Linked DNA regions of Ovis aries. The protein of the gene in region 7 purifies or fractionates together with the protein of the main gene of each other region. This does not show direct contact. Links are inferred from orthologs where the notes say so. Each region holds a gene or a part of one and is shown on either strand. Other genes may lie near its edges.

Region 1 (4,133 bases), on a different chromosome or scaffold from region 7:
GGGTTAGTTCCTGAGAGAGGGAGAAGGAATGGGTTGCAGGCGTGGAAGCAGTGTGGAGAAGTCAGGCAAGAGCCCAGAGCTTGATTTGCCTGTCACCTGGGTGATGTGGTAGTCGACCCGACTCTGAGCCAGTCCTTTGCTCAGTGTTCAGAGGGGGGTGCCTGTGGCCCTGGGAAGAGTTGGCGCAGGGACCCCAAGTTCCACTCATGCCCACAGCTTCCTGCAGACACAGGGAGGGCCGGCGGTCCAGCTGCCCAAGGCCAAGGAGAAAACCAGACAGGGCGTGAGCACGGTCGTCTCAGAGCATCGCAGACAATGCGCGCAGTGTGCGGGGACCAGGGAGGGCCCTGAGCCGAGGGAGGGATTGGCAAAGGCCAGCAGCTCCTGGGGCCAGGCGCGGCTCCCCGCCCCCACGCCAGACAAAGAGCGGCCCGGGCCTGGGGAGCTGGCGGCCTTCCCGCCACTTGGGGCGCCTGGGGGGGCTCTCTGGCGGGGAGGCGGGGGCTTTGTCTAACTCCGCCACTGCCACCGCCGGCCAGGCCGCGGCTTGGCAACTCGCGAGCAGGAGGCAGGGCTGGAGGGCGTGAGGGATGATGACAAGGAAGCCGGAGGAGCGGCAGTGGAGAGTCCATCTTGGATGCAAATGGCTCAGGGAGATGCGGGCTTTCTAAAGGGGTCCACGCTCAGGGCAGGGGGCAGGTGGCCCCTCACCCGAACACCAGAGATCTGGAGACCTCAGCGCTCCTCCTGGAGTTCACCACAGGAGAAGGAAGACAATCTGGGCACAGGTGCTAGCCAGCCCAGAGCAGGGCTTCAGGGTGCCTAAGCGGGTGGCTTGCTCCCTCTGGGACCCCAGTCCCCAAAGGGCCAGGTTCAGGGTCCCTGCCTCAACTGCACCAGGGGAACCTGAGACTTCCTGCCCACCTGGGCCGGCGGCAAGACCCTCCACCCATCCCACCCCAGAGTCAGATGAGGGAGGCAGTGAGAAACATTGGCCACAAAGCCTGCCTCTTAAGGTGTGCAGACCCGAGAGATGAGAACATTTCAGCTGAAAATAGGGGCCGTTTGCTCTTGGGGCTCAGACAGAGCCCACACTTGACCAACTAAACTATCTACCCCCACAGCCATCCACACCCTGAATCTTAACCCTTTCCAATCCCCAAATCTCTGTCCAAGAAGTTAAACACACACACACATATATACACCTACGTATAGGTATATACGTACATGGACATACACTTAGTGCTTTTCTGGGGCGCCCTTCAGATTTTGGAGTTATCGAGTTAACATTAGAAGACAAGGCCCAAAACTTTCGGCCAACTGCCAGCGTGGCACTTCTGACCAGGGAGGCCCATTTCCTTCCTGCCAAGCCCCTGCCTCCACCCCTACCCCCATGCACCTCGCTTTTTTGGAAGTTTCCCACCAAGAGTCTAAAGGAGAACCTCGGTGAGAGGGGGCAGTCAGTCACCTACGAACCCCACAAAATTTTACCACCAGCCACACACATCCCGCGTGCCCCCTTGCCACACACACACCCCGCCCCCGCCCCGGTCTCTGAGGCAAGACCCCCAGACTCAGCCTAAAGCTTCCGGACAACTTATGCAGGAGTTTTCTGGGACCGCCCAGCTTCAGCCCCAGCACACGGAGAGCACTGCTCCTGGAGGAGGCCCCTCTAAACCTAGACTTGGGGGCTCCAAGCCGGGACCCCGGCTCAATGCCTCCCCCGCCCTCCGCCTGCAGGCAACTCCGAAGCCCCCGGTCTTCTTCAACTTCTCTCACTTCGCGCACGCCTGAGGGGACCTCCCGTGCGCCCCGTTTTGGGCACCTGCTCCCCCACGCCAGGCCGGGCGGGCGTCCACAGACCACCTCCCCTGCACCGCCGGTGACCCCAGCGGCCCCGCGCCCTCGGGAGCGGCTGCAACCTGGCGCTCTCGCCGCCCCGCAGCGCCGCCTGCGCGTGGCCCGGCCTTGCTCACGTGCACCCCTGCCTCCCGGACCCCCCGCCCGGGCCTGCCCCTCAGGTCCCCAAGGGCGGACCCGCGCCCCGCTCCCGGCGCCCCGCTCCCGGCGCCCCGCTCCCGGCGCGACCGGGCCGCTCCCGATTCCCGCCGGCAGGGGCCCTCGCCGAGCCGCCCAAAAGCCGGAGGAAAAAGGAGCCGAGAAAGCCTCCCCCGCCCTCGCTCGCCGCGCTCCCCACAAGCCGGGGCCGCCGGCGTGGGGGGGACCGCGGCGGCCGCCCGCGACCCGGGCCCCAGCCCCGGCCCGACCCGAGGCCCGGCGCGGCGCGGGTCGCACCCGCGAACTTTGGCAGCGCGCGCGCCGGAATCATGGCGGCGGCGGCCGCGCTGCCCCGGGCCGGGACCCGGTGCCCGCCGACCCCGGCCGCCGCGGGCTCCCGGGAGCCGGGGCCGGGGCCGGGCGCGCGAGCCCCCAACTTGGCTGCACTTGGGGCGCGGCGCGCGCAGCCCGCGAGGCGCACTCACTCACCGGCGTTGAGGGAGGCGGCAGGCATGTGCGCGGTCAAGTTCGGTTTGTAAGACATCCCCCCGAGCGGCGGGGCGCGCCGGGGCGCAGCGGGGCCCGGCCCGCGAGGGCGGCGGCGGCGGCGAGACCCGGCGGCGGCGAGGCGGTCCTGGCGTCCGTGCGCCCGTCCGTGCGCCCGCCGAGCTCCCGCGCACTTTTTGTTGTTGACGGCTCGGGCCGCACCGGCAAATATGGCCGTCCCTCACCCTGACACCCGCTGCAGTATATCACCCATACATCGGGCGGGCGCGCGGGCGCAGGGGCGGCCGCAAACTTTGAGCGGAGCCAGCGGGGCCGGCCGGGGCCGGGAGGGGGCGGCCCGGCGCGCCGCGGCCGGGCGTCAGGGGGCGGTGCCGCCCGCGGCCGCGCCCCGCGCCTCCGGGCGCACTCGGCGCCCGCAACTTGGCAAAGTTTGGGGGGCTGGGGTCCCGGCAGTGCCCGAGGCCCACCTGGGTCCCCTTCTTCTGCTGCGCTGGCGATGCCTGGAGATTTGTTGCTGTACCGATTCATTTTTTCTTTTTTTTTTTTTTTCTCTAAAGCTAGGTAGGATTGCGGAATTACTTTTTCGCCCCCCCCCCTCCTTGACTGTGGGGGCAGGGATGGAAAATTACCTGGAGAAAATGGTGGCGAGTGGTATTTTTAAGCACGTAGATCATTCCAGACGCCGAGGTCTGCCTTCTCCCCAGAATAAGATCAACCAATTCTTGACATTGATTTCAAATAAATTTCACGTCCCTGTCGGTATTAAGTGGTTGTTAACCCCTTGGCGGCCTAGACTCCTTTGACACTGGACAAAAGCCAAAGGCCTCCTCCCGCGAAAAACACACCGTCTCATCCACCTAATTTTGCATCTTAACTCGTTCAAATATTTAAAAAGCGCCTGCTGTGTGGCGAGCACTGTTCTAGGCGCTAAGACAAGAATAAACTTGACCAAGTTTCTTCTCTCCTGGAGATTACATTGCAATTTTTGACCCTCTTCCTACCCCACCACAGCCCACTTCTCAAATCTGACTGAATTGCAATCATGAAATTTATTTTACATCAGATGATGAAGCTTTTGAAGGTATTATTTCTTGGAGTTCTCCTTAAATAGTAAATCTTCTCAAAAGACACAAGATGCCCGCCCTTTTCTGCCATTTTTAATCGCCCTGCTTTGCAAATATCTTTTATTAGCTACAGACTTTCAGATACATCTGGATCTAGTGAGAATTCTTATTGCCCCAGAGGTAAAGGATACACCCATTCCCTCCCTCCTTCCTTTAGAAGTGAAGGTACAAGCGACACCCCTCTTCCCAGGATCGCTTGTGATCAGCTTTAGGCTGGTTCCGTCAAGGATGTTCAGCGAAGTGTTAGTTCGGGGGTAAATTAATATCATCCTTTTCCTACCCTGCTCTCAGGGGACCAATACTCTAGAGTAGCACTGTCCAATAGAAAAGTATTGCAAGCCACATATATATTTTAACAATTTAAATAATCACATTTCAAAAAGTAAAAACTGATGAAATTAATCTTTTTTATTTAACATGATTTAAATATATAACGTATTAAGTCAATATATAATAAATATAAAGCAATTATTAAGATACTTTACATTCTTTTTCTGATACTAT
Region 2 (3,500 bases), on a different chromosome or scaffold from region 7:
ATCATGAGGGCAGCTAGTGTAATCGTAATGTCAATGAGAAGGGCTGTTACGATTGAGACTAAAGATTACATGGAAAGAGCTGCTTTGAAACTAGTAATTATTACCAGTCCACTAATAGCGAATGATGCATCACAGTCTCACCATATAATCTGTATTTCACTCGGCTCATGCCAGTGCACCATATTATATTACAGTGCTCACAGACTCTAAATTCCTAAACTGCAGTCATCAATAAATGTGTTACTTGCCATAATTTGTGAAATTACTTTGTTCATAACATCTTTGATGGTTTAGAAAGACCAGAATTGATTTCCTGCGTGGCAAAATTAGGGCTACATTGATTTATTGATGTGTAAAATATAATAATATTCTTCATTTACTCTGATGAAAATCAACTTCTCAATTTGAGAGCCTCATTGGGCATTCAGGGGGATTGTTTTGATTAGAGCAATAAACGGAGATCTGGCCTCGAGCAGAGAACTCTGAGGCATCAAAACGGTTAAAATCAGCTATTAGCTCACCTACAGCTTTTACTTTATTTCATTTTATTGTATAGGAAGGAATGACCCCATTTCCAGTTTGTCACCAATGCTCAGGAGTTATAATTTAGAAGAGCAAATTCTGATGAGGGACTCTGGCTCTACTACTTACTGGCTGGTGGCTCTAGGACAATCATTTAATTTCTTCAGGTCTTAGGTTTCCTATCTGTAGTGTTAGTCGCTCAGTCGTGTCTGACTCTATGACTAAGGACTGTAGCCCGCCAGGCTCCTCTGTCAATGGGATTTCCCAGGCAAGAATACTGGAGTGGGTTGGCATTCCCTTCTCCAGGGGATCTTCCCAACCCAGGGATGGAACCTGGGTCTCCTGCATTACAGGCAGATTCCTTTACCCTCTGATCACCAGGGAAGCCCCTATCTGTAAAATGAGTGTAAAAACAGTACCTTAAAGAATTGTGAGGCTCGAATGACAAATGTATATAAAAGCTCTCTGTAAACTATCATGTCCAACATGAATGTGAGTCTTCTTTATTCCTAGGCTTGACTAGTTACCTAACATGATGACTAACCGCACATTACACATCCACAAGGGCTTTTGAAGAAAAGACTGGAATCCAGGATCTGGGCCTTCTCAGGCCAAGGGGAGACCCTGGTTAGAGGAAAGCAAGAGTGGGTGATTTTAAGGCCCTGGACCATGGTCCACACAGCCAGGAGGCCACAGCCTAAGTGCTAAATGCTCTGAGAGCCTAGGGCAGAAGGTTAAGGAAGCCAGTGGGGTGCGGATCAGTTCTGCCCAAGGACTTTGTAGATCCCTACGACCCACTCCCACATACCTCATTCTGGTCACTCCTAAACTGGCCCTGCCAGTATGGGCCCCATCAAACTAGAAGATTCCTAGTTTCCCATCCCCTCAGATCAAACTCCCTGCCCTCAGGAGGATGAACCCGGAGAGAAGGTGCCTGTTTCCCAGGCAGCAGCCTTTGGGCCCCCACTCCACCCTCCCCTCTATGCCCCACTCTCTTCTCCTCCCTTCCCTCCAAAGGCTCTGTTCCCACAGCCAAGGACAGGCCCCAGGGAGGCACCCCCAGCAAAACGAGGAGAGCTCTCCCCACCCAGTCAGCACGTAGGCACTTGATGCCTCGAGTCCAACCCCCTGAGCTCTCTGCAATCAGTGACCTAACCCAGGCTTCAGCCCAGCTAGGTTGGGGCAGGTGGAGGGGGCGGGGGCGGCGGGGAAGAGGTGCTTTTAACCCCTGCACCACCCAGCCCTCAGGACCTCAGGGCTTGTGAAATTTCATACAATAACTCTTTGTTAGCTAGAATTACCTAGGAGTTAATAAAAATAAACAACCAGCTTCCAGCTTGATCTCGGGCTGTAGGCCCTGCCCTGCAGACACCATTCATAAGAAGACTGGGTCTAGTTGACCGCCCATCTGAAAACCAGCCACCTTGAAGGCCCAACTCCTGGCTCTTGATTTTTTTCATTTACTTTCAAAATAAAAATGGTTTCCTTAAATAAAAATTAGACGTCACATTTCTTTTCTTCTTGAGCCTACTTTTTTGTGTTTGGGATCGAATCAAGCACCAGGCCCTCACCCCCTCCCCATCAGACTTTTTAGCCATGCGTGACTCATACTATGTATTCCAACAGACAGAATCAAACTGTATTACCTTTTAAAACAACATCTTTCAGAAACATTTTTATAAACATACAAATCTAAATTTCATAAGAAGGTCCCCACCATAAAAGTTGGCTTGAACCAATAACTGGACAGTGATAGTGATGGTGGGGGTGGGGAGTGGTATCTTTGAATTTTAGCAACAATGCTGTGCATTTTTCTCTGAATCTAGGAGAAAAACAAGTAGAAATTATATATGTAGTGTACCATGCATATATAAAAATATACCATGTTTAAAACACATGCATATATAATATGCATGAGGATACCTCTACAGTAACACTGAACTGAGTCCTTTCTGGTTCTGGTCTCTGCTAAAGACACATGTCATGGAGTAAATTCAAAGTCCTCTAAATGAGACCATGAGGGTGAATGCCCAGCGATAAAATGGGCCCTGAACAGACCTATGCAGTCACCAGTCATGGAGCCACACAAGACCCTGGGGAGGAGACCAACAGGGAGGAGCTGCTGTCAGCCTCATGCCCTCAGTAAGGAGAAAAAGAAAGGGGGTAAGGAAAAAAGTCCCTGGGGCTGAATGACCTGGGGGAGCCAGGTGCCCAGTGAGTAATGGGATACACATATGCAGATGCCAAGGTATTTTGGAAGTAACTCCTTTCAGTACTTAAAACATAAGGGTAATTTCCAACAACTCTCATCTCTACACACATGGACATTTGTAGAAGAAAATAATGCTCAACTTACAAATACCCTGCGGGGCATATTCTGCACTCATCCCAGGCGTGGGGATTAGAGCTCCGTGTGCAGAACGAGGGGAGGAGAGGCCCCTCCAGTGCAGAAGTTTATCTGTGAAAGAAACCCAAAATCAAGCATGAAAGCTATAAACAATGTGCATTGTAGACCACAGGATATCACATTTCAGTTCCATTAAAATAGATTAACATCATTACAACAGCCTTGCAGATAGTGAACAGGCCCAAGGCCTGTATCAAATGAACAGTGGTGACTTCTTTCCCATAGTTCTGTTTTTAATTTTGGTTTATTTTTGACAAAAGAGAAGGGAGTTGATGTTTTAGGTATGAGGTAGGAGGGGGAGTGTTCTTTGGTTCGTTAGTCTGACTATTGTCTTATAATAAGAGATGTGTGAACAGCAAAAGGAAATTGCTAGTATGATTGGCAGGCTGGTAACGTGGCAAGGTTATCTGCAAGGCTGGTTTACACGCATACATTTACTTTACTTATAGACAAGCTCAAGCAAAAAAACAATATGCTAACAGAAAATGAGTGGATTTGTGACTCTTTACTTCTGGAATAGAGTTCCACTCTGCCTTCCCTGTCCTATACTTCCCCTGCTGTATTTAGCACC
Region 3 (3,952 bases), on a different chromosome or scaffold from region 7:
AGTGCTTTGTTATCCTAGCAGACAATACAGTTGTACATCATTAAACGCTTCTTGTCACCCTCAGCCCCCTTCTTCCCCCAGATCCAGGGGTGAGACCTTTTGGCTTCTGTTTCCGATACAGAAAGGGAAAGGCACGAAACACACGTGGAAGTCAAGAAGTTTCCTTCACACACACCCTGAAAAAAAGCGGCCGTCACGAACAGGATTCGAACCTGTGCGGGGAAACCCCATTGGATTTCGAGTCCAACGCCTTAACCACTCGGCCACCGTGACTTCCAAGACCGCCTGTCACCGAGCACTTACAGAAAGGGTCTGTACAACGACCCGGAGCGAGTGGTGGCAACGGGAAGCTGGGCCAAGCCCAAACACACAGCCTGTGACCTCCTCACATTCCGCTCCTTACCTCTGCCTTCACGCCGCTCAAAGGAAGAGAGTCGGGTGGATCGGGTGACCCAAAGAGGAAGGGTCTCCCGCCCTACGAAGATGAGGGTCTCAAGGAGCGCAAAGCTGTTTAGGAGGCATTGGCGAGGCCTGCAGAGGAAAGCAGTTGGAGAGGAGGGGCTGGGTCCCCGGGGTGGCGGCTAGGGGACTCCTCGGGTTGCGGAGTGAGACCTGGGACAAGGCGTTAGGGGCGAGGGAGGCTCAGGAGTTTAAACGGGGCACTCCTGGGGATGGATGACAGGAAGAAACTTCTTGCGGAAACGGGTCCAGGGCTCCTCGGGATTAGGGGCTTTGTGGGGTTAAGAAATGTGCAAGGTGAGGACCACTGAGGTCTGGGCTGGGGGCTCCTCAGGCGACCGGCATCCCCCTGGGGTAGGATAGAGAGGTACCCCACTCCACCGGCTGAGAGGCAAGAAAAGACTTCAGGTCAGCAAATGGCGATCTCTGGGGAGTGTGCGCCCCCTCCAGGAAGCAGCTTCCTCCCCAGAGCTCCGGCCGCGGCCGCCGCCGCCGCCAGGGAGGCCGCCAGGGTCCGCCCCGCGCCAGGCGCTCCGCCGCCACCGCGTCCGGCCGACCGGCAGGGGGCGCTGCGCGGGCCGGGGCCGGCCTAGGCGGCGGGAGGCGGCGGCCGCGGCGGCGGGAGGCGGCGGGAGGCGGGCGGAGGAGGAGGCGGAGGAGGCGGGAGCTGAGCTGAGCGGGGCGGGCGGCGGCGGGGCCCGAGCCCGAGCCCGAGAAGATGGCGGTGCGGAAGAAGGACGGCGGCCCCAACGTGAAGTACTACGAGGCCGCGGACACCGTGACCCAGTTCGACAACGTGCGGCTGTGGCTCGGCAAGAACTACAAGAAGGTACGCGGGCAGGGCCGCGCGGGGGCCGGGGGCGGGACAAAGGGACCGAGGCCCCGCGGCTCCCCCCACCCCCAGCTCCTGCCCACCCTCCCGCGGCCCGCGGCCCCTCCCCCGCGGCGCCCGGAGCGGCCCCAGCGCGCCCTCCGCCGCCCCGCGCCCCTCCCCCAGCCTCTTTTAACAACCCCCCCCACCCCCGCCTCTGGTTCCAGCCCCCGCCCCCACTGCTGCGCCCTCTGCCCCTTGTTTTTCTCCACTCGTCCGGCGGGTCCCGGTGCCAGCTGCCCACCCTCCGTAAGCCATCGCCTTCCGGGCTTTTCCGGGAGGGACGGTCGGGGGTGGATGGGTGCCGAATGCCCACCCCCCCCGACCCGAGCGTGCCCGCCACGGTGCCCGCCAGAGCTCCCCACGGAGCCAGGTACCAGCAGGGCTGAGGCCTCGCCGGTGCTTTGTGTATGTTCAGAGAAAGATGATGAAAGCCAGAGGATAAACAGCCCCAGAGCAGGCCCTCGACTGCTCACCAGCCTGAAAAAGGCCCCCACCCCGGGATCACCTGTCTACCGCCCGCCCCCATCTCCGTACAAGGGGTAACAGAACCTCTTTGGGAGTCAGGGTATAGGAGTTCCTGGGCAGCTACCCCTTTTAAAACCATTGCTCAACTTCACAATGAAATCACCCCACCACCTGGCCTTGCATTGCCTTGGGTTTGGGGTTCAGAGACTAGGATGCAGTTTGTGTCTGGAGTCCCCCATCCCGTAACAGGAGATAATAAGGTAATGAACAAAGGGTTCAAGCCTTACCTGTCGTTTATACCAGACCTCTTCCTGGTGATGTCTTTGTCTTTAGGCCTGGTTGAAAGGAACATCTCTGCATAGGGCTTTTCTCTGGAGAGGGTCTGGGTCTCTTCCTTCTCACTGCCCCCAATAAGAGGTTCTCAGACTTTCCTTCAGCTCCCCAGTTCTTCCTGCTCAGCTCTGCAACCTGTCAGAAGTGTGATGGGCTGGTGGAGAACGCCCCTCTGATCCTGGTTATGAGTCTGGCTCTGTTCTCAGAGGTCTGTCTGGGTGTCAGAGCTTGACCAACAGCTGCTGGGTCTGTGGCTCCTCTCTACACCAGCCTGAGGCTCTGGCTCCCAGGCTTCTACCTTTGACCTTTTGGACAGGAGATCAGTCTAGGGGCTTAGTGTCTGGCCCTGGGGGAATTGACAGCCTGTGACCTAGTTCAGCTGTCAAGCTCTTAGCTCTGTCATTTACCTTTTCTTTCAAGGATCTCTTTACACCTCCCACCAAAAGGTGCGCTTTTTTCTATGGTCGGGGTTGAGGAAAAGGGGATCAAAAGATAAAGTTAGCTTCTTTGCACAGTTTTACACGAGAACTGAAGGCTAGGGTGCTAGGTCGCATAATATGGAAATATTTAAGAAGCCCCAGGCTTGCCTGTGTCCAGTACAGTCTCCTCAAGAAGGGTAGATACTGGCTTGCTATTTCCACCTGGCTGGGCAGTAGCTGTCTTTTTTCCCTTCTAGGAGGGCATGTGAAGACATGTGCCCTATATTGCTTCTTTGCACCTTTCTTATCAGGCTATATTATAGGGGGAATCTTGACCTTCCACACCATTACTCAAAGAAGTAGACTGCTGTCTCCCTTAGAGCATTCCAGATGTTGCTTCTGTGGCCTGATCCCTATGAATCTTCATAATTTTACAACTCTAGGTGCCATTGGCTAAAGATCTGGATCCTGCAGCTCCATTTTTAGGGTGTAGTTGAGGGAGAGTAGGAAGCTGCCTATATTGCCAGCACCCAAGACTGGCAGTAGGAAGCTGAATGTCATCTTCTTGGTGAGGGGCACCTCAGGCCTTCCTTCTGCCGTTTTCTTTCTAAGAGATTAGGCATGTGGGGGAAGAAGACACTATTTGTATTCCAGATGCTTCCAGAGCTTCTGGGAAAGAAAGAAGGGAGATGGTGGAAAATTGATTTGGGGTCTGTTTTTCTCTCCTTTTCCCTATTTCCCCAGTATATACAAGCCGAACCACCCACCAACAAGTCCCTGTCTAGCCTGGTTGTACAGTTGCTACAATTTCAGGAAGAAGTTTTTGGCAAACATGTCAGCAATGCACCGCTCACTAAACTGCCGGTAAGTGCAAAAAGCAAGGGGGCAAATCCAAGAAGGAGTTGTCTCTTGTGTTTTTGTAAATCTTCTAGTTTTTGAGGTTTGGGTGACTTCCTACCATCCCTTTCCCTGGTTGGGGTGTTACTGGCTTGGCAGAGCCCCCAGTTTACCATCCCCTTTGTCCTAGTAATAGTTCATGCAACAGGTTATCTCGAGTATTGAAACTCAGTCATGAAACTCATGGCATGGTGAGAACGTGAGATTTGGATTTGCACACTCTTGTGTTCAAATCCTTGCTCTACCACTTGGTGTCTCTGTCATCTTGGACAAGTCATTTATGCCTTTTGAGTCTTGGTTCCTTTATCTCTCGATGGGATTAATATACCTATGTTGTAGGTATTACCTGTAATGATTAACGAGGAAACCCAGTAAAGGGAATCCAGCAAGGGACATGGTGGGGCTTTGTAGATATTGGTTTCTTTCTCTCCCCTCTTCTAGGCTACAAGATAGAATGGCACAGGGGTTAAAGAATTCCAGCTTTGAGAGGGAGATCAGTTCAGCA
Region 4 (3,500 bases), on a different chromosome or scaffold from region 7:
AATCCGTTTCAAGACTGTAAGTCCCTATCAAGTGAGCACGTGCAGCAGAGACGGGGCATGCTTAACCCCTGAGAGCTCAGCTGATTTATTCCTGAGCTGAACACTACAGACCTGTGTTATTTTGCTCTGAAATTTAAATTACTGCCATATAACAATTTAAGTATTCCCACAATGGATCTGAAGTTTAAGACAGAAAACACTGAATCTTCTGCCCTTGACCTGGAACGTTGCCCTCTTCAGGTTAACATGTTCGAACAGCACATCAGGGTTATCAACTAACACTTCACAAGACACTGTCAAAAGGGAAGATATAGTGATCACTATAGCCATACTACTTCTTATGAACCCCATCATGTGTTATTCTGGGGGGACTCCTGGCAAATAGTAACTTAAAAATGTTCCCTCTTGTAATTTAAAACCAAATAGTCAAATAAGCCAAGCTGAGTTGTTTTAAACACAAATTTTAAGAATCCTAAATATTAGGCATGGACTTATTTTGGATTCTGAATATAAATTTTCACTTGTATTTAAAAAAGTATTTTTATCCAAATTAATCATGATATGTCATTTTATTTTTTTTTATTTTTTTCACGATATGTCATTTTAATATGTCAACAAATGTCTTTCTCTTTATACAATTAACTCAAATTCAATTAAAGACTGACAAACAGAAAACATCAAATTCTTTCTGTAAAGATAAATTTGATGTGTATATTATATTGAAATATAATTATAATAAGTAATTTAATACATGGACCTCAAAGATTATAAAATTAAAACTGCTTTTTTGTCATGCACATATAAAAATGGTGGAATAATTATTTAAAGGGATATGTGAGACTACATATAAGATGAAAGGGGGTGTATAAGACACATTAAGCCACTAGCATTTCTTTAGGAGTCTTTCTACTTTCATTTAAATATAAATGAAGTTCAAAATCTAAGATTTCCCCCAATGCAAAAGCAGCTATGCAATCCATGTAAAATTGTGACCAAAAGAATCTAACTTTCCACAAAGTGTTTCCCTTTGCGCTCTCGTGGTACAGAAAATGGTTAGGCATGTGCTATTTCTATGAAGACAGCAATCCGTCTGGCTCACACCTTCCTTGGTTGTAGGAAAGATAATTACATGATTTGGCTTTAAAAGCCTTTCCTAATGCTGGAGCCTGGTACGGGGCATGGAGGAAAGTCAAAAACTGGGCACCAAGTAGATGTTTTTAGTCAACATTGGTGTCCTTCCCTCTTCCACACCAGGCTGCTCTGACTGGAAGGACATATGGATGATTTTTAGTCAATATTGTGTCCTTCCTTCTTCCACACCAAGCTGCTCTGACTGGAAGGCCATATGGATGATTGTGTCACCATAGCCCCGTTTAAGAGACTATATTGCTGTTTGAGGTTTTAAAGAAATATAAAAAATGTATCTGGGACTTCCATGGCAGTCCAGTGGTTAAGACTCAGCATCACCACTGCAGAGGACGTGGCTTCAACCCCTGGTCAAGGAACTAAGATTCCACATGCAGAGAGGTGCAGCCAAAAGAAAAAGAAAAAAAGTAGAAAAAGTATCGACTACTTAACAGTTCGTCTCACCACCTCAATTTAACATTCAAGGCAAATATAATGCACCGGCATCAGGTAGTTCTTTTAACAAGGATAAATACTGATAAACACAAGAGTATCATAAACAGAATCTCCCAAGCCAGTGCTCTAAGGGAACTGGTCTGAGGGCTATAAATACCAGTTTCTAGCAGTAAGTCCTTCCTACAAAGTTATGTGGAGCCTTTAATTTGTCAAAATATACTGAGAAACACCAAAAGTATACTGGTATATTTCGTGAGACCATGGTTTACACAAAGCTAGTAACAGCTCTGAATGTAGCTTAGCACGCACTGCTGTGGAATACTCAACAAACCCAGGACACCACAGAAGCAAATCAAAGGAAGCTAACACCTAAATTGAGCGTCCAAGCGGAAGGATGGGCATCTATTCACTCTGAGGCTACCTTATCCTGCTCTCCATGCAGGGCTGACTCCCACACCTCCCACGGATGCCGCCAGCATGGTCCCTGGGGGAGTAGGGGCTGGAGTGGGGAATAAGCCCTGCTGGAGAAAACTCACCGTAGCAGCTCTCACAGGCTCGCCCGAGGAGAGGGTTTTGTGGCTGGAACGTGGTTCCCACAGCTCCATTCACAGCACCAGGTTTGCCATTGCTGGTGGATATTTGGTTGGGATTTGGTTTGCTGCTTTCAATGAAATATAAAGTGAAGTGATAAAAATGACTTGTGTAACAAGGTAAAAGGCTCTGCATTTCACTACTGATTTTATCTTAACCACACATAAACATTTGAATGTTTGATGAAGAAGAAATAAAACTAAGGTGTTTAAATGAACCCAAACCATTTATCTTTACAAACCGAGGCTATGTAAAAACCAATCTCATAAGCATGACACTCACAAAATAAGTAGAGTCATATCTCTTCCTCACCCAGACACAATTTCCTTAGGATACTGTCTGAAATTTTGGAAGATGCAAGTTATTAAATTTTACTACTTATCATGACAAAATAATTTCTGGATTAAATAAATTAAGCAGTGTGCAGTGTTTAGGGAAAACCACTGCCCTTCCTGCTGCTGGAGTGACAGCTGCTGACCCCACACTGGCTCTCAGGGAACTGCACAAAAGCTGCATGTCAGCAGTGACACTGCGGACATCAGCTGGGCTTACTGTGAGAGGTAAAAGCACGTCAAGAGACTGTGGCCGCTCATCATTTCTATTATGCTTGAATGTTTATGAAGATGATTACAGAGCACTTGAAATTAGAAAAACCACTAAATGCATCCGAGGCATTTCTTTTTAAGAGGAAAAAGGTAATATCTATCAGATTTCCAGAAGTCATAATTCCTCAGAATCATGTAGCCTGGACTGTTTTGGTATTTACTGTGCCAACATGGTTTACTTTTTCCCATCTGGGGCAGCCTAACTGCCCTGCTGATCAGTCACGCCCAAGAACACTGTCCACCTAGGTGTACACAGTGTGTCCTCAAGTACACTCTCAATTCCCCTAACATATATTTATTCAGGGTCCAGTAAAGAGAAGTGCTGACATCAAGCAACTTTCATTCTAGAGGAGTCTTCATGTCTATATGCTGGGCAGAAAATAAAATAAGTTAGCAACTTATTTGTTAGCAATGAATGCTGAATGACTACATGCGGACTACATATATTCCTATGGCCAGTGAAGTAAAGAGAGCTCACAGCTATTAAGAAAGGCATTTGAAGTTTCAGCAGAGAGTAGACTCAGGAGTTTCCTTTTTGCTCTTTCTCATTCCCACACTTACATTTACCAGTGAAAGCCTAATATGTAAACTTTACCTGATGACAAATTAAGATTTCTTTCTGCCAGTGATACTGTAACTCTTAAGTGAAACCAGCTAACCTGTGTGTGCACTGAAAGCCCTATTCTATAAACAGGGCTATTATTTATACTTCTTATCTGTGCC
Region 5 (3,500 bases), on a different chromosome or scaffold from region 7:
TGTTGAGAGTTCATTCCTTAAGTAAGAACCAAGCTTTATTTATTTACAAAAAAAAAAAAAAAAAAAAAAAGTTGGGGCAAGAAGGAAGACAAGTTTTACACAAAAGTACTACAACGGTAACTCCCTTTGGTAAAAAGTGTAATAAATGTCTTGTACATCTGTTCATAGGTACTAAATCTGAAGCCACATAGAACTATGGTACACAAGAAGCTAGAGCAGTTATGCTAGCACATCAAAGCATATTTCTTTTAATAAAAAATTGACAGTATGTACATTATTTACAAAAAAAAAAAGAAAAACCAAGTTAAAATTGTGTTTGTGTGTGTGTGTGTGAGTAAAGCTGGTGGATGGCACTAGGGTAGACTAGTAAAGAAGCAGGTACAAAACAGTTCCACGGGAGCTAAAAAGGACGACTGATTTGAACTTGTTGAGGCTGAGAACCAGAGGAGAGAAAAAAGGGTGGGCAGCAAGGTATTCATCAGGAATCAAATCCACAAGATGATCAATCCCAAAGCCAAACTGCAGGTCCCAGAGAAAACCTAATGGGTGATCTAGATGTGCTCAAGTGACCAGGAAGAAAAATCCAATCCAGTTTTTTTTTTCCTTTTTGAGGGGAAGAGGAAAGGAGCAGTGACCATCAGAGCTACAATCCATCTAAGCGCTGGCTCCTCCTCAAGTCTGTCGTCGATGCTCGCCCAGCTCGTCCAGGTGTGAACAGCATCCGGTTCCCTCACTGAAAGTCGCCCCAGGAGGCTCCAGTCTCCACTCTGCTGGTGTGTGCAAGCTGCGTGTCCCTGTGCTTGCGTGGGTTTCCTCCCCTCCAGGGCAGGCTAATACCCAAAACCCCTGGGAAAAGTTCCAACTCCGGCTTTGTAAGGGGTCACACGTTCCTTATACGTAGCCCACTTGGTGCCAGGTTGCACCAGCCACGCACAGATCAGGTGGCCATGTCCCAGAGAGGCCCAGTGAGGCTTGAAAGGCATCTTCCTTGTTTCTTCAGTGTGTGCGAGTACACGCGCCCCCCACACACACCACCCCCCCTCCAGTTATCTGCTCTGGCTTTGCAGTTACGGGGTTTTGAACACTGTGCCGTATTTGACACGGTACTTGTTAATGCTCACAAAGTGCAGGGTCTCTGTGTCGCAGGTGGTGGTGCAGGGCACCAGGCCCTCCAGCCCCTCACCCATAAGCCACTTGCTGGTCTCCGCTGCCATTTCACGGGGCACATGCTCCTTGGTCCATTTATCTACCCAGGCCTGGAACCTCTGATGTAGCCGCTTGCTTACACGCTCATGGGACTGCAAAACAGAACAAAGAAGAAACCATCCATGAACTAGGACTGAAAAACCCTTCGAATACAAAATCCAATTTTGTTCTAAAGTAGCTGAGGAAAGATGTGGGCTCAAGCTGCAGATCATAAAGCCCCCAGAGAAATGCCAACCCAAGGTCTGGTCAGAACTAGCTCAGTGCTTTTCGATTTTGGTCTGCAGCATCACCACGTGGTGGCATGTTGGGGAAGGAGGAGGTCTTGGGAAAAATGTGTACAGAGTTCCTTGTTTCCATCAATCTGTATTTTTAAACCAGCAACCCAGACGATTCTAATGTACCCTGAGGGAGACAATGAGGCTGTTGGTCACTTCTGTCACAGCGCAAGGCAAAGGGTTTAAAACCCACCATCCCTTCCTGCTATTATCCCATTCTGTCCATCAGATTGTTGGGCACAGCAGATCTTCAGTGGAGGTTTTTGTTCCTACCTCCAACATACTTGTTGGTGCCCATAAGCAAGAAGGGAAGGTGATACAAAGATGAATGAGGTGTTTCCCAGCTCCCTACATCATTTGAATCAGACATGCAGACATATAACACACAGCACCGAGAGAGAAGTACATTAAATTGCCCAATCTGTGCTTCCCACTTGAATGTTCTGTAGTCCTTTGATCTGCCTCCCAAACCTGGTAATAACCCTTTCCTGTTAACAGACATACCCCTAAGCTTCCCAGTTACTCAAGCAAAATAAGCAAAGAAATAAAATCAAAAAACAAAAACCACCAGGTAGCATCCTTAACGCTCTCCATTCTCTTAAACCTCTCCACATCCAATCATTAGCACATCCTGACGATTGTATCTCCAATCCTTTTTTGGCATACAGCATGGCATATTGGATCCCTGACCAGGGATCAAACCCATGCCTCTTGCATTGGAAGCTCCAGCGTCTTAACCACTGGACCATCAGGGAAGTCCCTCCAATCTAATTAAAATTCCTCTATAATCCTGGTAGTCTGGGCAGTCATCTCTCATACGGATGAGAGCAGTCTTTTGAGTGGTCTCTGCCCATCCAACTTGGTGCGTTCGCTCACTCCCATCAATCTATATCTTTATCAACAAAGTCTCAATGTATCTCAAAACCCAAACCATAACCTGTAAAAATAAATAATGTGGCCTCTGCCCACCTTTCCAACTTCATGCATCCCACTTCCCCTATGGCTCAAAACACAATGATGTTTTACTTATTGTTTAAAGGCCCTGCCATGTGGCATTTGGGACTCCAGTTCCCTGACCAGAGACTGAACTTGCACCCCCTGCACTGGAAGAGTGGAGCCTCAATTACTAGGTCCCAAGCAAGTCCCCCGCAACTGATGTTAGGTTTTTGAACACGTGAAGTCCTTTCCTCCCTCCCAGCCTTGCACCTGCTTGTTTCCTTTGCCTAAAAAGTACCAACCCAACTCTGCACCAGGCTGGATCCTCACCATTGTACAGGCCTCAGGGGTCACCTCCTTAGGTCTTCCCAACAAAAGCAGGGCTGTGTGTGCCAGTCACCCTCGATCACCTCGTTTCTTTCCTTGGAAATGCACATCATCACACTGCCTTACATGCTCTATCTCAGGGCTGTAGTCTTAGGGCCTGGCACAATACCTGGTACGTAACAGCACTAGGACTTTCACATGTGAACACAGACAGGATTCACACAAGCAACACTACCGGAGATGTGAATGCTGGGAGTAGCTTCACTAGAAGGTGCCACCAGCTATTACTAAGCTGTCCCCCTACAAATTCACAAGCAGAAATCCTAACTTCCACCCCTCAGAATGTGACCTTATTTGGAAATAAGGTTGTTGCAGATACAATTAGTTAAGATGAGCTCATACTGTCGGAGGGTGGACCCATAATCCAGTATGGCTGGCGTTCTTTAAAAAGGGGGAAATTTGGACAGACTCACACTTAGGGAGAATACCATGCAAAAACGAAGGCAGAAATATGCAAGCCCTGCAATGCTGGTGATTGCTGGAAACCCACCAGAGGCTAGGAAAGGCAAGAAACAGATTTCCCCTCACAGTCCTCAGAAGTTTCAAAGCAACCCTGCCAACACTTCGACTTGGGACTTCCAGCCTCTACAAGTGTCAAGATAGTAAGTTTTTGTTGTTAAGTCACGCAGTCTTTGGTGCTTTCTTACAGCATCCTGGTATACTGGCTGAGGGAGACGTGTGGAGAAATTCCAAATA
Region 6 (4,171 bases), on a different chromosome or scaffold from region 7:
TTTAAATGCAACCAGCAAGTCTTCTTTGATGTTACAATGGTGAAAAATATAAGAGAAGCCCTCTTCCCTCCCTCTAGAAAGGCGTCCCTCTCCCAAGGCAAGCCCACTTTCATATCTATTCCCCTCCCCAAAAAATAATCATAAATCCACAAATTCTTACTAATGTATGTGCTGTAACAAAGGAGAGATGGCAGCAGCGGAGGCTCCGAGCAGATGGCTCCTATGCTGGGTTTTCCGGGGAGGGGAGAACCCCTTTATATATTTATTTATTTATTTAAATTTTTTAAAATATAACATAAATATTCGGCTCTTGGCCGCCCCGCAGCCAGTCCTCGGCGACGGATGGGCGCACAGCCCTCTCCAGCTCCGCGCCGGCAGCCGGGCCCCAGCCTGACAAGGTGATCCGAGGATGGCAAGGAACACAACCTGCCCGCGGTTTCGATGGCACCCAGAGGATGTTTTATTTCTATTGCAATTTAAAAGAAAAATTTAAAAAAAAAAAAAAAAAAGCAACGGCGACTCTGGCACCGCGAGAGAAAGGACCGCGGGGAAAGGTTTGCGCGCGGCGGAGCAGCGGCCCCGCGGGCTGCGGCGGGCAGGGAGCGCGGCGAGCAGACCTTCCCGGTGCAAGTGTGCAGGCACCCGGGCGAGCTCCCCTGCCAACCCCGTACCTGGCCCGCTCCCGCACGCTTCTTCCCTTCGCTAAATAAACCCGACCGGGACGCTGGAAGCGGCTGCGTCTCTGCCCCCTTGACTGACTTTGCCTTCCCCGCCACTTGCTTGAAACCCACATGATTTCAGCCGGTGGATTTCCACTGCGACCTGCCTTGTTTATTTAGACAGGGGAAGATGAAAGATCTGAGATAGGCAGATGGGTAAGAGATGGATAGGTCTCTTTCCCTTTTTTTCCTCTTTTCTTTCTTTTATTTTTTTTTTTCCACTATTTTACAAGCACGTCCCTCTCTTCCCACTCCGAGCTGACAACCCTTTCCCCCCAGCCCCCTCGTGGAGGGGATTTTTCACCAGCCCCCGATGTCCCCCACCTTTTTTTTGGAGTGGGGGGGAAAGAAGACAAGAACATCCCAGGAGACAGACGGAGGTGGGGAAATGGGGGTGGGGGTGCAGGAGCCCAGCAAACAGCCGCGCAGCTGGATTCTTTTGCAAATAGCACGAGGAGGGGAGAGAAAGGCGGCAGCGGAATCCGAGGACCGGCGTGGCCGGCGCCCTGCCCGGCCGGGTGCCGCGACTGGGGGAACTCGGAGCCAGCGGCCACCCTTCGCCCTGCGTCTCCCCCAGGCCCGAGCGCACCCCGCTCCCCTCCGCCGGCGCCGTCAGCGCGGACCCACGCGCTCGCCAACTTTTCCCCACTTCCCGGCTCCCCCCTCCCCCTCCGCTCCCCCAACCCCCTCCCCCCTCCTCTCCAAACCCCGCCACCAGCGCCGCCGCCGCCACACACGCCGCTCGGAGGGGCGAGCGTCCAGCCGGGCTCCGCGCGCACACACACACACCTCCTCCAGCCTGCGCGCCCCCTCCCCGGCCCCGGAGCCCGCTCCGCAGGCCCCCAAGCCCCGGGCGCATCGGACTGCGCAGCGCCCGGATTCCCCGGGCTGCAAAGAAACTTTCCTAAGGCCCTCCCGCCCCCCAACCAGGCTCTGGGCCGACGCCGCTGCCCCTGTGCGAGCCCGCGGGCCGCCCGGGCACCCGGCCCGGCTGCGCCCGGCTCGGTGTCCCCAGCCCTGGGCGCCCGGAGCCCCACGCTCCGGCCCCTCGCGCGCACGCCGCAGACACTTACGGGTGATGATCTCCCTCTGGGACAAGTGCTGCGGGTTGCCCTGTTTGCGGCGGGACATTGCCCCGGCATCTATTCTGACATCGCCCGGAGAGCTGGACCGATGGGGGGAGCCGGGGGAGGGGGTCCGAGCCGCCGCCGCTGCCGCCGCGCCGCTGCCGCCGCCGCACCTCCTCCTCTGCCCGGGTTGGTGTTTTGGTTTTTTTTTTTTTTCCTTCCTCTCTTGCCCTCTCTTCCTCCTCTTCTTCTTCTTTATTTTGCGCTTTCTTCTATGCTGTTTTTTCTTTTATTTGCAAAAAGAAAAAGAAGGAAAAAGAAAAAGCAAAACCTCTCGATCTAAAATAGGAGAAAGGAAAAAAAATCTGCTGCTGCTTGCCGCGGACTGGCTTGCTTCTTCAAAAATATATTCTTTTCAAGGAAAAAAAAAAATTGCATACACTTCTTCAAACTGCTTGGCCTCCTGGACTTCCAAATGTCTCGAACTTAAACCGGATTTTGCACCGGCTCCTGACACTTTGAGGGTCTGGTAGGTGTAAAGCGCACTTCTACCAGGAAGGGGGGGGGGGAGGGGGGAAAATGCAAACAAATAAAAAATAAAAGAAGAAAAAGAAAAGAAAAAAAGCCAAGAAAACTTGAGGACTTGTCTCGTACCCCCTCACCCCGCCCCCTCAAAAAACCCAAAGCAATGTAAAACTGCCCCGGTTCGGTGGTTTCTGGGTTTTCTGCGGGCTGCCTGTTTTTTTCTCGGAGACTGACCCTTCCGAGGCTCTGGGGGGACTCCAGGAGCGGCTCCTTCCCAGTTCACCTGGCAGGCTGGCGCCGGCCGGAGAGGCTGCCGGGTCCCCGCGAGCGCTCCCCAGCGCTCCCCTGGAGCCGCTGGCCCGGGGGGAGCTGGGCTGCGGGGCGGCTCACCCAGTGCGCCTGGGTCGGTGCGGGCGCGGACTGGGAGCTATAGATTGCAACGTGAAGATGGCGGAGTCCGGGTTCTCTGGGAGCTCTCGGTCTCTCTATGGCTGGGGCTGCCTCTGTACAATGGGATAAAATTCAAGTTCAAGTGCGGACGTGACGTTTAATCTGCACTAGAGACAAAAAGACCCAGAGAGTCGGAGCACTGGGGGCGACTAGCGGTGGCTTTTTAACATTGTACCCTGTAAGAGAACAAGAAAGCACACACACACAGAGACACACTCGCGCGCGCGCGCGCACACACACACACACACACACACACTCGCCCGTGCGCACACCCGCAGTTCAGGCCGGCCACACGTGCGGCGTTTTTTTTGTGTGCGCTCGTCTCCTCCCGGTGCACTGGCAGCGCAAAATGGGGGGAGAGAGGGAGGGCCGTGGGCAAGATATTTTTAAATAAAAGAAAATCCTCTCCATCCCTCCTCCCCTCTAGGGAGCTGGACCCCCAGAGAAGGGGGGCGGAGTGCGGTGTGCGTGGAAGTAAGTTGAAGCAACGCAAGTCCCCACCCACTCACTGGAAAGCTCTTGGGGGGTGGGGGATGGCTATGAAAGAGTGTTGGGGTCGACACGAGGACTAGGACCACATGGTCAATTACTCCGTCTCCCTAGGAAAGTAGTTTGGTTGTTTTCACTTTTATTGAGGGGTCGGGGTTAAACTTCCAAAAAGTGTCTCCATATCAATCCTAATATTTCAAACTGGGAGAGCCAAGGGGAGAAGATAAAAGATACTAAGAGGAAAGAATTCGGGGCACATTGAGGGGCAGGGAAACGTGAGACCTTGTCTGAGTCCCATTCCGGAAGGCATGTCCACCCGAAATCTTTGCGCTCCCTGCACCTCATCCCATTCAGTCTTGGGGTCAAACACGGAGCCCACCCCTAACGCCAAGGTTTTTCGGAAGCATGGGGGTGAGGGGCACGGGTGCTTCACGTGGGAGAGTGTCTCATAGTTGCCGACCCAGAAGTAGGTGTGGCCGGATCTTTGGACACACTCGCGTGGGTGACCCCCCTCGGGTCCCCCAGTCCCTTCCCACCCCTTGACAATTATTGCAGCCTGGAAGTAACGCCCCCCACCCCCAGGGCTCCTCCGCCCAGGGCAGGACTTGAAATTGCCCGTCAGTCTGGAAAGGAAGGACACAGCTGCCTTGTCAGCCGTTTGATCTCCAGCCGGCGAGGCTGAGAGGAGGTGTGGGGGCCTGTCCGTGGCCCGGGGACAAGGCCAGGACGCGGGCCGCGTGGACATCTACAACCCCCCCTCCAACCTCCCAGTCCCTCCTCCAGCCGCGGCCAACTTCATCCGTTTCGCGACTTGACCTCCGGGCTGGACGCGCCACGCGGCCGGCCCCCTCGCCCTTCCCAGGGTTTCTCGGGTCTGGGGCAGGAGGCGGCCAGGGCGGGTCCGGGCCTGGCTCGGGGCTG
Region 7 (3,500 bases):
CTGCTAAAGTGCCTGCTTCCCCCAAAGGCATCTCTATTGTTCTCTCCTCTACTTTAGAAGCTATTGACTTGCAGGTGCCACTCTCAGCCTGCACTACTACTGCTGTCTAAGGGAAGGGCAGAAGACTCGATAACCGAGCAAAGGAAACTGGGAAACACTGATGCCACCTCTCCACTCCAGTCTGATGAAAAGTCAGGCAGGGTAAACTGGAACTGTTAAGAGCAGAGAGGGCCATCGGTCACCAGAGTTTTCTAACCTAGCCGTGGAACTCTGATCCCCAGTGAAAAGTTCCTGACTAGAGTGCTTGGATCCTGGAATCCAGGAATTCTCTGATATTACATGGGAGTTAGGTGTGTCTGTGCTGTGAATTTCTCTGGACAGCCATTTTTTAGCTTTCATCAGATTCCAGAGAGGTCCAGGGCCTCCCTCAAATTAAAAGCATCGGCTAGTGAGGGTTCCCCAGCCCTACCGTACCTCATGAATTGGCTGAAGGCTTTGTAGTTGGTGAGTGTGTGGTAATCTTCCTCGGAGAACACATGTTCCACGTCCTCCAGGCCCCAGGTCAGAAGTAGGGTTGCTGATGACTTCTGTTCCACTTGCTAGGATACCAGGCTTCTGTTAGCCAGGTGCTCTCCTAACTCCAGTCCTGGGCTCCCCCCACCCCCTGACATGCCTCCCTGCCCACTCACCAGCTTCTCTGGGCTTCCAGTTTTCTGTTCCATTCCCAGCCCAATCCCACTCCTCATAAACCACAGCCTCTCCATTTGTCACCCTGCTTGCCCAGGGCTCTCCCTCCCCTACTCTTCAGGCTTGTCATTGATACAGATTTCTTCCCTCACTCCCCAAATCTACTCACCTTTTGCCCCCCCTCTCCCTCCCCTTTTTTCCGCCGCTTTGTCTTCTTCTCCTTTTTTTCTCGGTGCTTCCGTCTCCGTTTCCGACCTGGTCCGGTTCCATATTCACTGCCTCCACTCTCTGACTTCTCCCGGTACTCATCTCGCTCAGAGCCAAATTCCTCCTCGCTGTCCTAAGGAAGAGAAATAAAAACACTATTTTTTGAGCCCTAGCGTGTGCCAGGAACTCCTCTTAGCACAAAATATCATCGTCTCTTTTAAACTTCACAACAATCCTATGAGACAGCAACTAATCTATTTTTATCCATTTTTTTTTTTTTGTAGAGGAAACTGAGGCACGGAGAGCTAAGTAAGCTGCCCAAGAAGATAGAGGACTGCTGGGCTGTGAATTCATGCAGTCTACCTGCAGTGCTTCCAACAGCTTCTCTGTGTTGCAGGGCAAGTAAAGTCGACAAAAGGGCTCTTCACTAGGATGTAGTGAGTAAGGTTAGGGTCCCAGACCTGGGAGATACAGGCTAGCAGGAGTGGGGCTAGGGGCAGGCAGAGGGAGTCAGGTCTCCCTGACTTCAGGGTCCCCATGGCAATCAGGCCCAGAGAAATCATAGGTCTCTGGGATGGGTCTCCAAGCCTCACTGTAGAGACAGGCATGCGTAACACTTACAAGCTTCTTGCGTTTCCGGGGCTTTCCTGGCTTGTTCTCCTTCTGTTTCTTAGGTCCTCGCTTCCTCTTCTTCACGCCCAATGTTGAAGGCAGCAGTCGAATGTCATCCTTATCTTTGGAGCAGACAGCACCGGAAAACCTAAGCCTCTAGGCTCCCAGCCTCTGCAGCCCTTTTCCTCCCTCACCTCCTTGGTTCCTGCTCTCTAGGAAATCCAGCATTAACTCTTCCAAACCTTGCCTCCCTTTGCTGGACGCAAACAGAGAGTGTTTCGAGTACTCTGGGATGCCTGGGTTGTGAATGGGAGGTCAGGGGTCAGAAGAGGAGAGCAGCCAAACCACTCCTGTCTCTCCCCTCCTACTAACAAGGGACCAGGCTCTAGGCCATGGGCTCTGACTGTGGCAGGTCCTTTTAGTCGCCGCCAGGGCTCCTCCTGCCTTCCCCCTCACTTAGCCAGCTGGCATCCTGCCCAGGAACTGGGGAAGCCATGCCCAGCTGCTGGCCTGGCCTGACCCCAGCACTTGGAGTGGGGAGACACAAGCTGGCAGCTCCCTAAGCCAGATGCTGAGAAGGCAGAGCCAAAGGTGGACACCTGGGCTCTCACACTAACACCCTGGGGCCCTGACATCCTTTCTGTGAGGAGTGAGGCCTCTATTTACACTTCCTCAGATAATCACCCAGACTCCTGTCACCCCAGCATAGCCCTGGAGGAAAAGAAACCCTCAGTCAGCCATGTTCACTTCTGGCCCACAGGATCTTGGTGTCTGGCTCCTTTGTCACTCCCTAGCCCCACAGGAGAAGGTCTCCACAATTACCTATACATTCTTCCTCCTCCTCCCAAGCAGCCTCAATTGTGCCTTCAAATCTACATCCACATCCCTGTTCCCTTTGAGAACTCAGGCGCCCTACCCGTTGTCCCTGGTCTCACCCCTTGCCTCCAAATGTAGTCTCAAGCATTCTAACCCATTCATATCTAAGCAGTATGGGAGACCCACACAAAGACACTGGACAGGCATAGACACACCCCTCAAATGCATTCTCAAATGCACAAGCATCACATACTCATGAGCACAAACCCAGAGGACAATTTGTACATGCTTTTAGCAGGGCTAGGTCCCTGGCTTTCTCTCCAGATGTCCCTGTCAGACAATCTGGGGCTGGTTCTTCCCAGATGTCCCCCTCTCCCCATTCTCCATGACCCCTGCCACACTGTGGAGGCTTAGGGTTCAGAGAATAACTACTTCAGGAGGAAGACACAGCCGATGCCACACAGAAGTGAGGCCCCGGTGTGAGGCCTCCCTCCCCCAGCAAGCACTAGACTAACCAGCCAGACCTGTCCTGCTCAGGTAGAGGCAGCAGCGCTGGAGGGAAAAGCCTGGGCCGGCCCAGCCCCTTGCTCTAGGACACACAATCCTTCTCCCCACAACAGCCAAGGGAAAATTAGCCACAATTTACACCGGAGGCCTCGGGTTTCCAGCGCCTCAGAATCGCGGCGCCTCCTTCCTTCAGTGCTACTTCTCACAGCTCCGGCATCCTGTGCCCTCTCGCGCGGGACGGCACTCTAAAATTGGGGGGCTGTGGCGCGGGGGGGGGGGGGGGGGGGAAGTGCCTGCAGGCAGCCCGGGGTGTGAAAACAGAGTGGGTACCGTAATAGGAAGTCAGTAAGACGCCGTGCCCCGCAGCCAGCGCTCTCTCACCCCAGGGACTCCGCTAATACGAACATGGAAACGGAGGCTGCCGGGGCAGTAGCAAGGGCAGGCCAACTGGCTGAGGATCAGGGAAATGGCCTCGGTCTCCGCCAGCTGGGGGTGGGGTGGTGGGGGGACACCAGCCCTGGGACCTCGCAGCCAGTTAACTCCACTCTCCACCCCAGCGGGAGGTTCCCCAACTTGGGAAGACGGCGGTAGTGCGGGGACGCAAAGTAGACGGCTAGGAAAGGAGAGGGAGGGCAGGAAAGCAAATCTAAGTCCCAACCTCTGCCTCACCA

Evidence for each region.
Region 1: the proteins of CHD3 (region 7) and CDK2AP1 purify together in Homo sapiens (affinity purification with mass spectrometry; 6 studies listed by BioGRID and IntAct, with this or other methods). This does not show direct contact. The link is inferred for Ovis aries from reciprocal best matches to the Homo sapiens genes CHD3 and CDK2AP1.
Region 2: the proteins of CHD3 (region 7) and BCL11A purify together in Homo sapiens (affinity purification with mass spectrometry; 3 studies listed by BioGRID). This does not show direct contact. The link is inferred for Ovis aries from reciprocal best matches to the Homo sapiens genes CHD3 and BCL11A.
Region 3: the proteins of CHD3 (region 7) and SMARCC2 fractionate together in Homo sapiens (co-fractionation; 3 studies listed by BioGRID, with this or other methods). This does not show direct contact. The link is inferred for Ovis aries from reciprocal best matches to the Homo sapiens genes CHD3 and SMARCC2.
Region 4: the proteins of CHD3 (region 7) and MTA3 purify together in Homo sapiens (affinity purification with mass spectrometry; 4 studies listed by BioGRID and IntAct, with this or other methods). This does not show direct contact. The link is inferred for Ovis aries from reciprocal best matches to the Homo sapiens genes CHD3 and MTA3.
Region 5: the proteins of CHD3 (region 7) and SIN3A purify together in Homo sapiens (affinity purification with western blotting; 3 studies listed by BioGRID, with this or other methods). This does not show direct contact. The link is inferred for Ovis aries from reciprocal best matches to the Homo sapiens genes CHD3 and SIN3A.
Region 6: the proteins of CHD3 (region 7) and BCL11B purify together in Homo sapiens (affinity purification with mass spectrometry; 3 studies listed by BioGRID and IntAct, with this or other methods). This does not show direct contact. The link is inferred for Ovis aries from reciprocal best matches to the Homo sapiens genes CHD3 and BCL11B.

The regions. Positions count from the first base shown.
Region 1 is NC_056070.1:52,346,653-52,350,785, reverse strand, and holds the start of CDK2AP1 (cyclin-dependent kinase 2-associated protein 1), read right to left. Parts: upstream 2,801-4,133; 5' UTR 2,543-2,800; coding exon 2,488-2,542; intron 1-2,487. UniProt on the Homo sapiens protein: Inhibitor of cyclin-dependent kinase CDK2. Also acts as a component of the histone deacetylase NuRD complex which participates in the remodeling of chromatin.
Region 2 is NC_056056.1:63,535,423-63,538,922, reverse strand, and holds part of BCL11A (B-cell lymphoma/leukemia 11A), read right to left. Parts: intron 2,981-3,500; coding exon 2,879-2,980; intron 1-2,878. UniProt on the Homo sapiens protein: Transcription factor. Associated with the BAF SWI/SNF chromatin remodeling complex. Binds to the 5'-TGACCA-3' sequence motif in regulatory regions of target genes, including a distal promoter of the HBG1 hemoglobin subunit gamma-1 gene.
Region 3 is NC_056056.1:163,357,354-163,361,305, forward strand, and holds the start of SMARCC2 (SWI/SNF complex subunit SMARCC2), read left to right. Parts: upstream 1-1,152; 5' UTR 1,153-1,177; coding exon 1,178-1,288; intron 1,289-2,085; exon of another isoform or gene 2,086-2,383; intron 2,384-3,294; coding exon 3,295-3,414; intron 3,415-3,952. UniProt on the Homo sapiens protein: Involved in transcriptional activation and repression of select genes by chromatin remodeling (alteration of DNA-nucleosome topology).
Region 4 is NC_056056.1:81,421,682-81,425,181, forward strand, and holds part of MTA3 (metastasis-associated protein MTA3), read right to left. Parts: intron 2,243-3,500; coding exon 2,118-2,242; intron 1-2,117. UniProt on the Homo sapiens protein: Acts as a component of the histone deacetylase NuRD complex which participates in the remodeling of chromatin.
Region 5 is NC_056071.1:31,101,754-31,105,253, reverse strand, and holds the end of SIN3A (paired amphipathic helix protein Sin3a), read right to left. Parts: intron 1,299-3,500; coding exon 1,068-1,298; 3' UTR 14-1,067; downstream 1-13. UniProt on the Homo sapiens protein: Acts as a transcriptional repressor. Corepressor for REST. Interacts with MXI1 to repress MYC responsive genes and antagonize MYC oncogenic activities. Also interacts with MXD1-MAX heterodimers to repress transcription by tethering SIN3A to DNA.
Region 6 is NC_056071.1:61,946,267-61,950,437, forward strand, and holds the start of BCL11B (B-cell lymphoma/leukemia 11B), read right to left. Parts: upstream 2,801-4,171; 5' UTR 1,851-2,800; coding exon 1,793-1,850; intron 237-1,792; exon of another isoform or gene 1-236. UniProt on the Homo sapiens protein: Key regulator of both differentiation and survival of T-lymphocytes during thymocyte development in mammals.
Region 7 is NC_056064.1:27,388,702-27,392,201, reverse strand, and holds part of CHD3 (chromodomain-helicase-DNA-binding protein 3), read right to left. Parts: intron 1,629-3,500; coding exon 1,516-1,628; intron 1,028-1,515; coding exon 857-1,027; intron 600-856; coding exon 475-599; intron 1-474.